Solanum lycopersicum: one gene and its partner. The protein of the gene in region 1 interacts with the protein of each later gene in a pairwise test. Links are inferred from orthologs where the notes say so. Each region holds a gene or a part of one and is shown on either strand. Other genes may lie near its edges.

Region 1 (4,289 bases):
ACAAAGTGTTCTTGCATATATTTTATTTTCCGAAATCACAATATATACTTGCATGAATATATTGTTTACTTAACCTATACGGTGACAGTGATGTTGACTTTGTATTGCTAGGTATTTTGATAGGCAGAGAAATGTCATCAATAGATAGACTGAGCAGCATTTTTCTATCAACAAGAAAATAAACATCACATTTGAGAGCATTTAACTAAATAAACAGTCCAAGTTTACAGCTGATCAAACAAATAGATCATGTACTACTTGCCACAAGGGAAGAGACCCACAATCATAAAAGTTAATAGAAGACAATCAAGGAAAACCTTCTCTCCTTGGAAAAAAAAAAGGTATCAGATGAACTTATTGTATGTTTAGAAGCTTTTAGGTGAGTGGTATAATTCAAAGCAAAAGAAATTCAATATATACTCCATCAAAAGCAATTGAAAATAGAGTGCACTTGTGTATGTGCTTTAAAGCTTTTCCTTTAAAACATATAACTCAAAAGCATATTTAGCATCAAAAATCATATTCTATTTATATTGATAGGTAGAAGAGCCAGTCAATATAGATAAGTGGAATTTGTGAGCCAAAGTTTTGTAATAGCTAAATAGAGATGGAGGTTTGGGATTCTTTAGATAAAGCATGTGATATGAAGATTAGTAAATGCATGGGAAGCCACTGCACAAGGATCTTTTTTTAATAAGGTCCACCCACAGCCCAAGGTTCTAAAAATGGAATACAGATGTATGCCTCACCATTGGCATTAAAACCATCGATTTGATGCTTGAGAACTGAGTAGCTCTCAATTTAAGCACTTTCAATAATATTGTTTCATGCTTGTCATAACCCTTACCTTAAATGCTTTGCTTTAAACCTATGAGGTTTGTTCTTAAAGAACACCTTAGAAGAAAAAGTTACTAGCGGAGCAGCTTATATGAAAAGGTAATTTATCCACCTTCAGGAGAGGTAAAATGAACTATTGTTTTCACTCATCTTCAATTTAACACCAACTAAATTAAATTTTGCAACATGAAGAAATGAGACATAAGTTATTACCACATCATCGCCAGCTTTGATTTCCACTTGAGGAAGCATGATAAGGCGTGAATCCCGACCTTCAGGAGTCCCCCCTTTCTTCCTGCTTAATGAACTACTGCTTCTGTTGAACGATTTTGTCAATGAACCAGCCTTCGTGGAAACAGAAGGTGACTGAGCAGCTGGAGAAGACAACTTCGTGGAGAACTTTCTAGTTGAGCCACTACTAGCAGTACTCTCTAACGATGTAGACGCACTCCTCCTTGCAGAGGATAGTGATGGCGATGATAATTTAGCTGAGGTCTTCTTAACAGATTCTTCTTTGCTTGCATCAGAACTAACTGATGCTCTTGGAGTCTTTGCAAGGGGTGAAAGGGGAACTGATCTTCTGATCTCTGAAATACTTGATCGAGTAGTAGTTCTGGTACTGGTTGATGGCAATGTGCTTTTCCGCATTTCGGGAAGCGATCGCCGCATAGGATCTGTTGCCAAAGAGTTGGTCTTTTTAGCTGTACCTGAAGCAACACTGCCACTAGCTCGTTTAGTTACTGCTATTGGCTGCTTGTCAGGCAATCCGCCAGTGCTACTCCTTCTAGTGACTGGAGTTGTTCCTGAAATTCGTGAAGTGCTACTAACAGTCGATTTTGTCAGAGATGACTTGACACCTCTGAGAGTAAAATCAGTGCCATCTGGTATTCCAGTTCGCTTCTTCACAGTCCCAGCATTTGTTGCCCCATTTTGAGTTGTTAAACTTGGTCTCACTGTCCTTGATTTTTTCACACTCTCTGCTGATGATTGCTTTAGTGACTCTGAACTTTGTGGATGTTCAACCAAATCCTGCAGCGGAGATGGCTTCTCTATTATCTCTGGACTTTGGTTCTCCTCCACTGAGTCTTCATTGGATTTTAAAACTGAGTCATCCATTTGCAACCAATTCTTCAAGAACAATTATCTGTCCAATTAAAATTGTCAAGATCAAAACAAATAAAGCAAGCTAAATTAGCACAGAAGACGTCATCTTTGTGGAAAAGAGAAGTACTGGCAAAGCACTATGCAGAGCAGCACCGACATTCAAAGAAAGCACAGTAAAAATTATAGAATCAAAAAGTCTCAATTCTCTAATCTAACACAAAAGTGCTGTTCTTTAGCTGAAATTCAAGCACTTTCTGTCACATTCCCTTAAAACCCAGCCGTAAATCACTACTCAGAACAGAGAAACAAAAAAGGCAAGAATGCAGCTTTTCAGCCTAAAATTCAAGAACTTCTTTTCCAATTTCCAGAACAATTCAGCAAAACCCCACCACTGAAATGAACCAAACAGCAGCTTCTTTGCAGCTAAAATTCACAACAAACCAAAAAAAAAATAAAATAAAAAAAAACCAATAATGCAGCTTCATTTAACCAAATAGCACCTTTTCCCATACTCCAAAACAACCCCACTCAAAAATACAAGAAAGTCAAGAATGCAGCTTCATTAGAGCAAAAAAAAATCAGAAACTTTTTCCACCATTCCAACACCACAAGACCAAGAAAACAGTTGGGTTTCCACACGCACCTAGTTAAAGCCTAGATCTGGTGAAGAAGATAGCAAAAAAGAAGTTCAACAACTACCTAAACCATTTTTGTTCCTTTTTCTTTAGGGTTTTTGGTGCAAGAAGACGAAAAAGGCGCTATAGTAGTAGTATAGAATCCATATGGGAGTTTTCGAAGCGTGAGAAAAAGCGAGGTAAAGTGGGAGAGAGAGTGGGAGAGTAAATGTAACTGAAGCTGATAAGGAGAGAGAGAACCAATGAGAATGGTGACAGGTGAGAAATATATGGAACGGGAAAAAGACATAACAATTACATACATTATTATATATATCAATGAGAATTGTTTTCTTCCTTAAATCCGCAACCATTGTCTGCACGCAGGTGACCGAGCATGTAATGCCGGGGGAACATTCAAATTTTTACATTATCCATTTTCTAGAACTTAGTTTATTCTCGAAGTAGACAAAGATCGACTATTCATTGATCTTCGATCATCGTACTTTCTTGACTAGAGTCATATTATATTCATTTGTTCTCTAAATTTATCATAGTCAATTTTTTACACTTTTTCATTAGAATATATTACGTGTTTGATCTCTTTATATGTTTAAATCATATTAGTCTCTTAATTTTCGATACATAAGTTAAACTTTATGAACTATGAATTACATAATGCCAAGGGAACATTCAAGTTTTTACATTGTCCATTTTGTAGAACATGTTTATTCTCAAGTAGGCAAAGATCGACTATCCATTGATCTTCGACCTTCCTGCTCTCCTGAATAAAGTCATATTATATTCGTTTGTTCTCTAACTTATCATAGTCAATTTCTCGCATTTTCTCATTGGAATATACTATGTGTTTATCTCTTTATATGTCTAAATCATATCAGTCTCTTAATTTTCGATATATACATTAAACTATTAAACTTTATGAACTATAAATTTCATAATACATAAATTAATAATTGTAGTGTTATTCATTCTACCTGCAATTCATGTTGAAAGTTTGGTATATTGGCCTAAAATTGGAATATATGATACATACAAATGTGTATATGATTTTAAATTGAATGATCCATGGTTCAATTATAACTTTCTAAATGCCTAAGTGCATAACAAAATTGATTTTGAATAAAGGACAATTTTATCATTTGAATAGTTTGTCTATGTATCTAATCATATTCTTATGCTACATTGGATGTGAAATAAAATAATAGAGTACAATAATTCTTGTATTAAATACTCCTTGTGCAAATAATACTAAATTTGAAATGATAATTAAAAAAAGGTGTAAAAAATAAATCTCCCTAATACTTGCAACCTCAATTGTGTCCTAAAGATCAAATTAAGATTTTTTCATGTCTAGTTTTAATTTGCAATAGAAGGTAAAATGGCAATTAAGGGCAAGTAAACAAACATACATCAAAATATATGACTAGATCGTGCATAATTATATACCTTAGGCAATTTCTAGTTTTCTACGTAATTTTGTGTACGAAATAAATATCATTTAAATTTTATACACATTTCTGCCTTTAACAGATTAAAGATCTTTCTATATGTAGCAATGTTTTATAGCAAGTTCAAAGATTAAATCATTTAAGAATACAATTGTATCATTCATATGTTGATTTTCTAACACACATGCATAAATTAAAGAAACGAAGAAAAAATAGAAATGTACCTTCAATCACAATTGTTCAAGTGTTGTAGAGAATCGTCTCT
Region 2 (4,436 bases), about 1.8 Mb from region 1:
GATTTACAAAAAAACAACTCCAATTACAACTTACCAAACAATAATTTAGTAAAACGTTAAGTAAAATTAAAATTTTGGCGAAGATTCTCGAATGTATATAAAAATAAAAATCAACTAATTATATAAAACACATATAAAAAAATTGTATCACTTAAAAATATTGAAAATCGGTTAAAGTTACTTTAAAACGATTCGAAAAACATTTAGAATTTTATAAAGTTAACTATTTCAAGCTTGTTTGAAATTCAAGAAACCTGTGAATTAATTTCTATCGGGGAGGGTCAAAATTAAGTGTAAACAGTTGACGACAACAACAAAAAGAAAAAAAAACTGACTTTTGGCAAGCAATAATATTTTGCAGTAGATTTGGAGTGTAAATAATACTTGATATAATAAGAAGAAAACCATTGTATAAAGAAAGAAGTTGAGAATAAAAGGTCTCCCATTGCACTTAGCCAATTACATAATTATCTATTCTCCAAAAATACATGTAGAGCTTTACTCAAAACAAATCACAAATATAATAAATTAAAAAGTATAGTTAGGACCTCAATTATTGAACTCATAAAACTTAAATTCTAAATCGAAGACCTCTATTCACGATAGAATGACTTCTAGATCTTGGATAAATGACGTCATTAACGTCCGATTCGTTAAAATCACAAGGCTTGTTTTCATCAATTCTTCCTAATCTTCCTACCCCAGTGCTATAACTTCTCCAAGTAGATTGATTCTTCAACTCTGTGCTCTTGGGTAGTTGTTGAGGTTTTCTATGAGAAATTGTACATGACATGACACTTCCCCCTTGACCAACTTGTTGAGCACAATCAAACATTGTTTTCATGTAGAATTCTCTAGCTTTGCCTAACACCTTAAATGGTGCCACAATATATTTGACTAATTTTTTCGTGGTTTTAGTTCCCATTTTTACACTCCCAAAATGATGAATTGTGTAGAATTTGTAATATATTTGTAGCTAATCTTGAATTAGACGGCAAAAGACGGTTTCAAATATTAAAAGTATTATTTTAACCGCTTCATGAGAGTAATGACACACATATTATGCCAAAGAGTAGGAGACAAATTGTCACACCGAACACACGTCTACCTTCTTTTAATTGTTCTACCAATGTTTTTAAGATGTGGCAATGGAAAAAAAAACTTGTTGACAAACAGTTGCACAAGAGCATGTCGTTAGTGCTCACGGTGGCGGATCTAGGATTGGATTATAAGTTTCTCTTTAGTAAATTGAAGTAATTAAAAATATTATTAATAAGAGTTGTGATGAAGTGATAAAGTAACTTTTTCATTTTTATGAATGTAAAGTCATCTTTGTTAGGAAATGATTTACCCTAAAATGAGACTTCTCGATGTGAATTTAAATTTAGTGGGACTCTAATATTGTTACCGAATACCTGATGAAAGCAAAACAAAAGTAATTAAAAATATTAATAATTATATTTAAATTATCAAAATAAACCTATCCTATTTTCCTTTTATATTTTGTCACCCAAAAAAAGAGGTATGAAATTGAAATTATTTAAAAAACTCTCGTGACCTTCACACCATCTTCTTTCTCCCTCCTTCACTCCACCATTAACATCTCTTTCTCTCTCTGGTACCGATCTTTCTTCTAAGTAAAGCTCCATTTTCAGCAGAAATTCAAAATGGGTTTCATCATATCCTCTTCGTATTCTCATATATTCTGAGATTTCCTATTTCTAATTTCTGAGCTTATGAACACCATTTTTGCTTAGCTACACGAAGCCCCAAAACAAGAGAACACAAACCCAGAGGTTTTTAGGCGTTTTATTATGAGTTACACCTCATACCATGCTGTTTTGTTAAATGGGGTTTTGCGTTTTTTCTGTTTTGTTACTGTGGTTTCTCGATCTACTGCACTGGGTTACGACTTATTGTCTTTTTTACCAATGTGAACTACCAAGTTCGAATTTTTAAAGTATTTTATACTGTTCTGTGCTTGTGGGTACATGGATCTTGGTGGGTAATTTCTTTGGTGCTTGATTAGTAGAAAACATTGCTGGTAATTAGGGAGCTTGCTAAGTTATCTGATTTTCATGAGTTTTCTGTGAGCTTTGTAGCATATCGTGCAATGTTGATCGTATTTTTGTGATTCTGTTTGGATTTTTAGTGTTGATTTTGGTTTGGGACTTCTGTTGACTATTTGTTGAAATTGGCTTCTTCTTTAATGCGGGGGTTATATGTTTTTGGACTTCTTTGATTTTTAGTAATCATGGTGTTACTAAATTGGTTAGGTAACTGCTGAAGTTATTGAAGATTACCGTTTAATTGAGGAGTTGGATGGTCTTTTTGAGAGCTGTATAGAGCGGAGATTATAATTTTGGAAAATGACTTCTGATATGCCACCAGTTAGTATGAGGTCAAGCAGGTCATCTTTTGGCTCAAGCAATGGATATGAAACACCTTCACACTATTCCTTTCCAACCTCAAATGGGGATGATTATGATAGTGATGGTTCTAATTTCGCTCCACCGTAAGCTTTCTTTGACCATTAGATTTACTTCTTTGATCTTATTTCATACTTTGATGAAAATGGGTGGTGTTATCTAATGCTATATCTCCTACCTTACAATTTATTGTTACCAACTGCTTTTTTGCGTTTATGTAATGTGCAGCACTCCGAACACCCTCTCATCAGTCCTGTCACCTGAACTTGCTGGTGCAATACCATATATTGACAGATTCCAGGTAAGAGATGACTTTGCAGAAAAAGAGAATCATTTCAGTCTGTATGCACACAACAAAGATTGGAGTGGCTTTTTTTCTTTTCTGAATTTTGTTAAGAACGACATGGTGGATCTCAATTATGCTTTGCTGCTACTTCAGAGAGGTAATATAGATTCTTTGTGGTTATAGGTTGAAGGTTTCTTGAAGGCTATGCAAAAACAGATTCATTCTGCTAGCAAACGTGGGTTCTTCCTGAAAAAATCTGTTGGGCCGCAAGTTCGAGAAAAATTTACATTTGAGGATATGCTATGTTTTCAAAGGGTGAGATTAAGCTATTTAGCTCTTTACACTTTTGAAAATGTATCTCTCGACACTTGCAGACTAAAAACAACTTGCATCTTGACAGGAACCCATTCCAACATCAATTTTGAAAATAAATGGTGATCTCATTAGCAGGGCAGTTAAATTATTTCAGTCTATTCTGAAGTATATGGGTATTGATTCCTATGATAGAGTGGCTCCAATTAGCTTTGATGAACGGATTGAACTCGTTGGCAAGCTATTTAAGCAGGCCCTGAAGCGATCTGAGCTTCGAGATGAAATGTTTGCACAAATTTCAAAACAAACAAGGAATAATCCAGAGAGGTACTTTGACCATCAAGTATATTGATTGAGAAATGGGAAGCTGATATTCACTTCTTTCTGTTTATTCTGTTGCTTTTAACTTGACAGTGTTCCTCACATGCTTGTTTCATACATATAGGCATTCTTTGATTAAAGCATGGGAGCTGATGTACTTGTGCGCATCTTGCATGCCTCCGAGCAAGGAAATTGGTGGATACTTGTCAGAATATATTCATACTGTAGCACATGGGACTAATACTGATTCCGAAGTTCAAGTTTTTGCTATAAATACTCTAAATGCACTGAAACGTTCGATTAAGGCTGGACCTAGGCACACGATTCCTGGTCGTGAGGAGATCGAAGCTCATTTAACTGGGAAAAAGCTTACTACAATAGTGTTTTTCTTGGATGAAACCTTCGAGGAAATTACCTATGACATGGCAACCACCGTTGCTGATGCTATTGAGGTATTGTTGAATTTCCATATAGTTTATATACAACAAACTTTTTTTCATAAATTAGATGCTAATGTTTGAGTTATACAAACAAGAAATACACATGGGATTTATAATTTGGTAGAACAAAACATAATTTAGGATATCCTTGTTTTTATTTTCCACTTATCTATCCAAGAGCTAATGGCATGTTTGACTCAGTATGAACTTAACATGAAAGTTGGAAAATCTCTAATTTATATGTGGACTATGTTGGGCTTATTAGTTTTTCTTTGGTATTCAGGTTTTTTAATGATAATGAGAAAAGTTGCATGGTAAAAAGTAGGATAACTGTAATTCTTGGTTATTTTATATATGACATATCTTTCCTTCGTTCATGAAAGTGAACACTGCTCTGAAGATACTATAAGAGGGAGGCGACAATGTGTGCAGGAGGGAGTAAGATAATGCTGCATCTCCAAATGTTTTCTTGAATGAAACATCCTTGTAAAATGATTCTCATAAAAATATATATCCTTGAAAAATAAACCTAATTGATAGATGATATGTAGTTTAAGATGTAATAGCAAGCCTTCATTTACAACAGCTTAAATAGTTTGGACTTACACAACTCAACACCTTAAGGCTCTGTTGAGTGCCCTAGGCCAT

The links.
Region 2: the proteins of 187-kDa microtubule-associated protein AIR9 (region 1) and kinesin-like protein KIN-14E interact in binary tests that used the Arabidopsis thaliana proteins (3 or more experiments, as listed by UniProt). The link is inferred for Solanum lycopersicum from reciprocal best matches to the Arabidopsis thaliana genes AIR9 and ZWI.

What each region holds. Positions count from the first base shown.
Region 1 is NC_090801.1:56,226,270-56,230,558, reverse strand, and holds the start of 187-kDa microtubule-associated protein AIR9, read right to left. Parts: upstream 2,861-4,289; 5' UTR 2,585-2,860; intron 1,982-2,584; 5' UTR 1,954-1,981; coding exon 1,051-1,953; intron 1-1,050. UniProt on the Arabidopsis thaliana protein: Microtubule-associated protein that may be involved in the maturation of cell plates and proper insertion of cross-walls after cytokinesis.
Region 2 is NC_090801.1:54,456,487-54,460,922, reverse strand, and holds the start of kinesin-like protein KIN-14E, read left to right. Parts: upstream 1-1,494; 5' UTR 1,495-1,796; exon of another isoform or gene 1,797-1,818; intron 1,819-2,276; 5' UTR 2,277-2,369; coding exon 2,370-2,515; intron 2,516-2,657; coding exon 2,658-2,730; intron 2,731-2,898; coding exon 2,899-3,030; intron 3,031-3,115; coding exon 3,116-3,354; intron 3,355-3,472; coding exon 3,473-3,800; intron 3,801-4,436. UniProt on the Arabidopsis thaliana protein: Minus-end microtubule-dependent motor protein involved in the regulation of cell division and trichome morphogenesis through microtubules bundling. Possesses basal and microtubule-stimulated ATPase activities.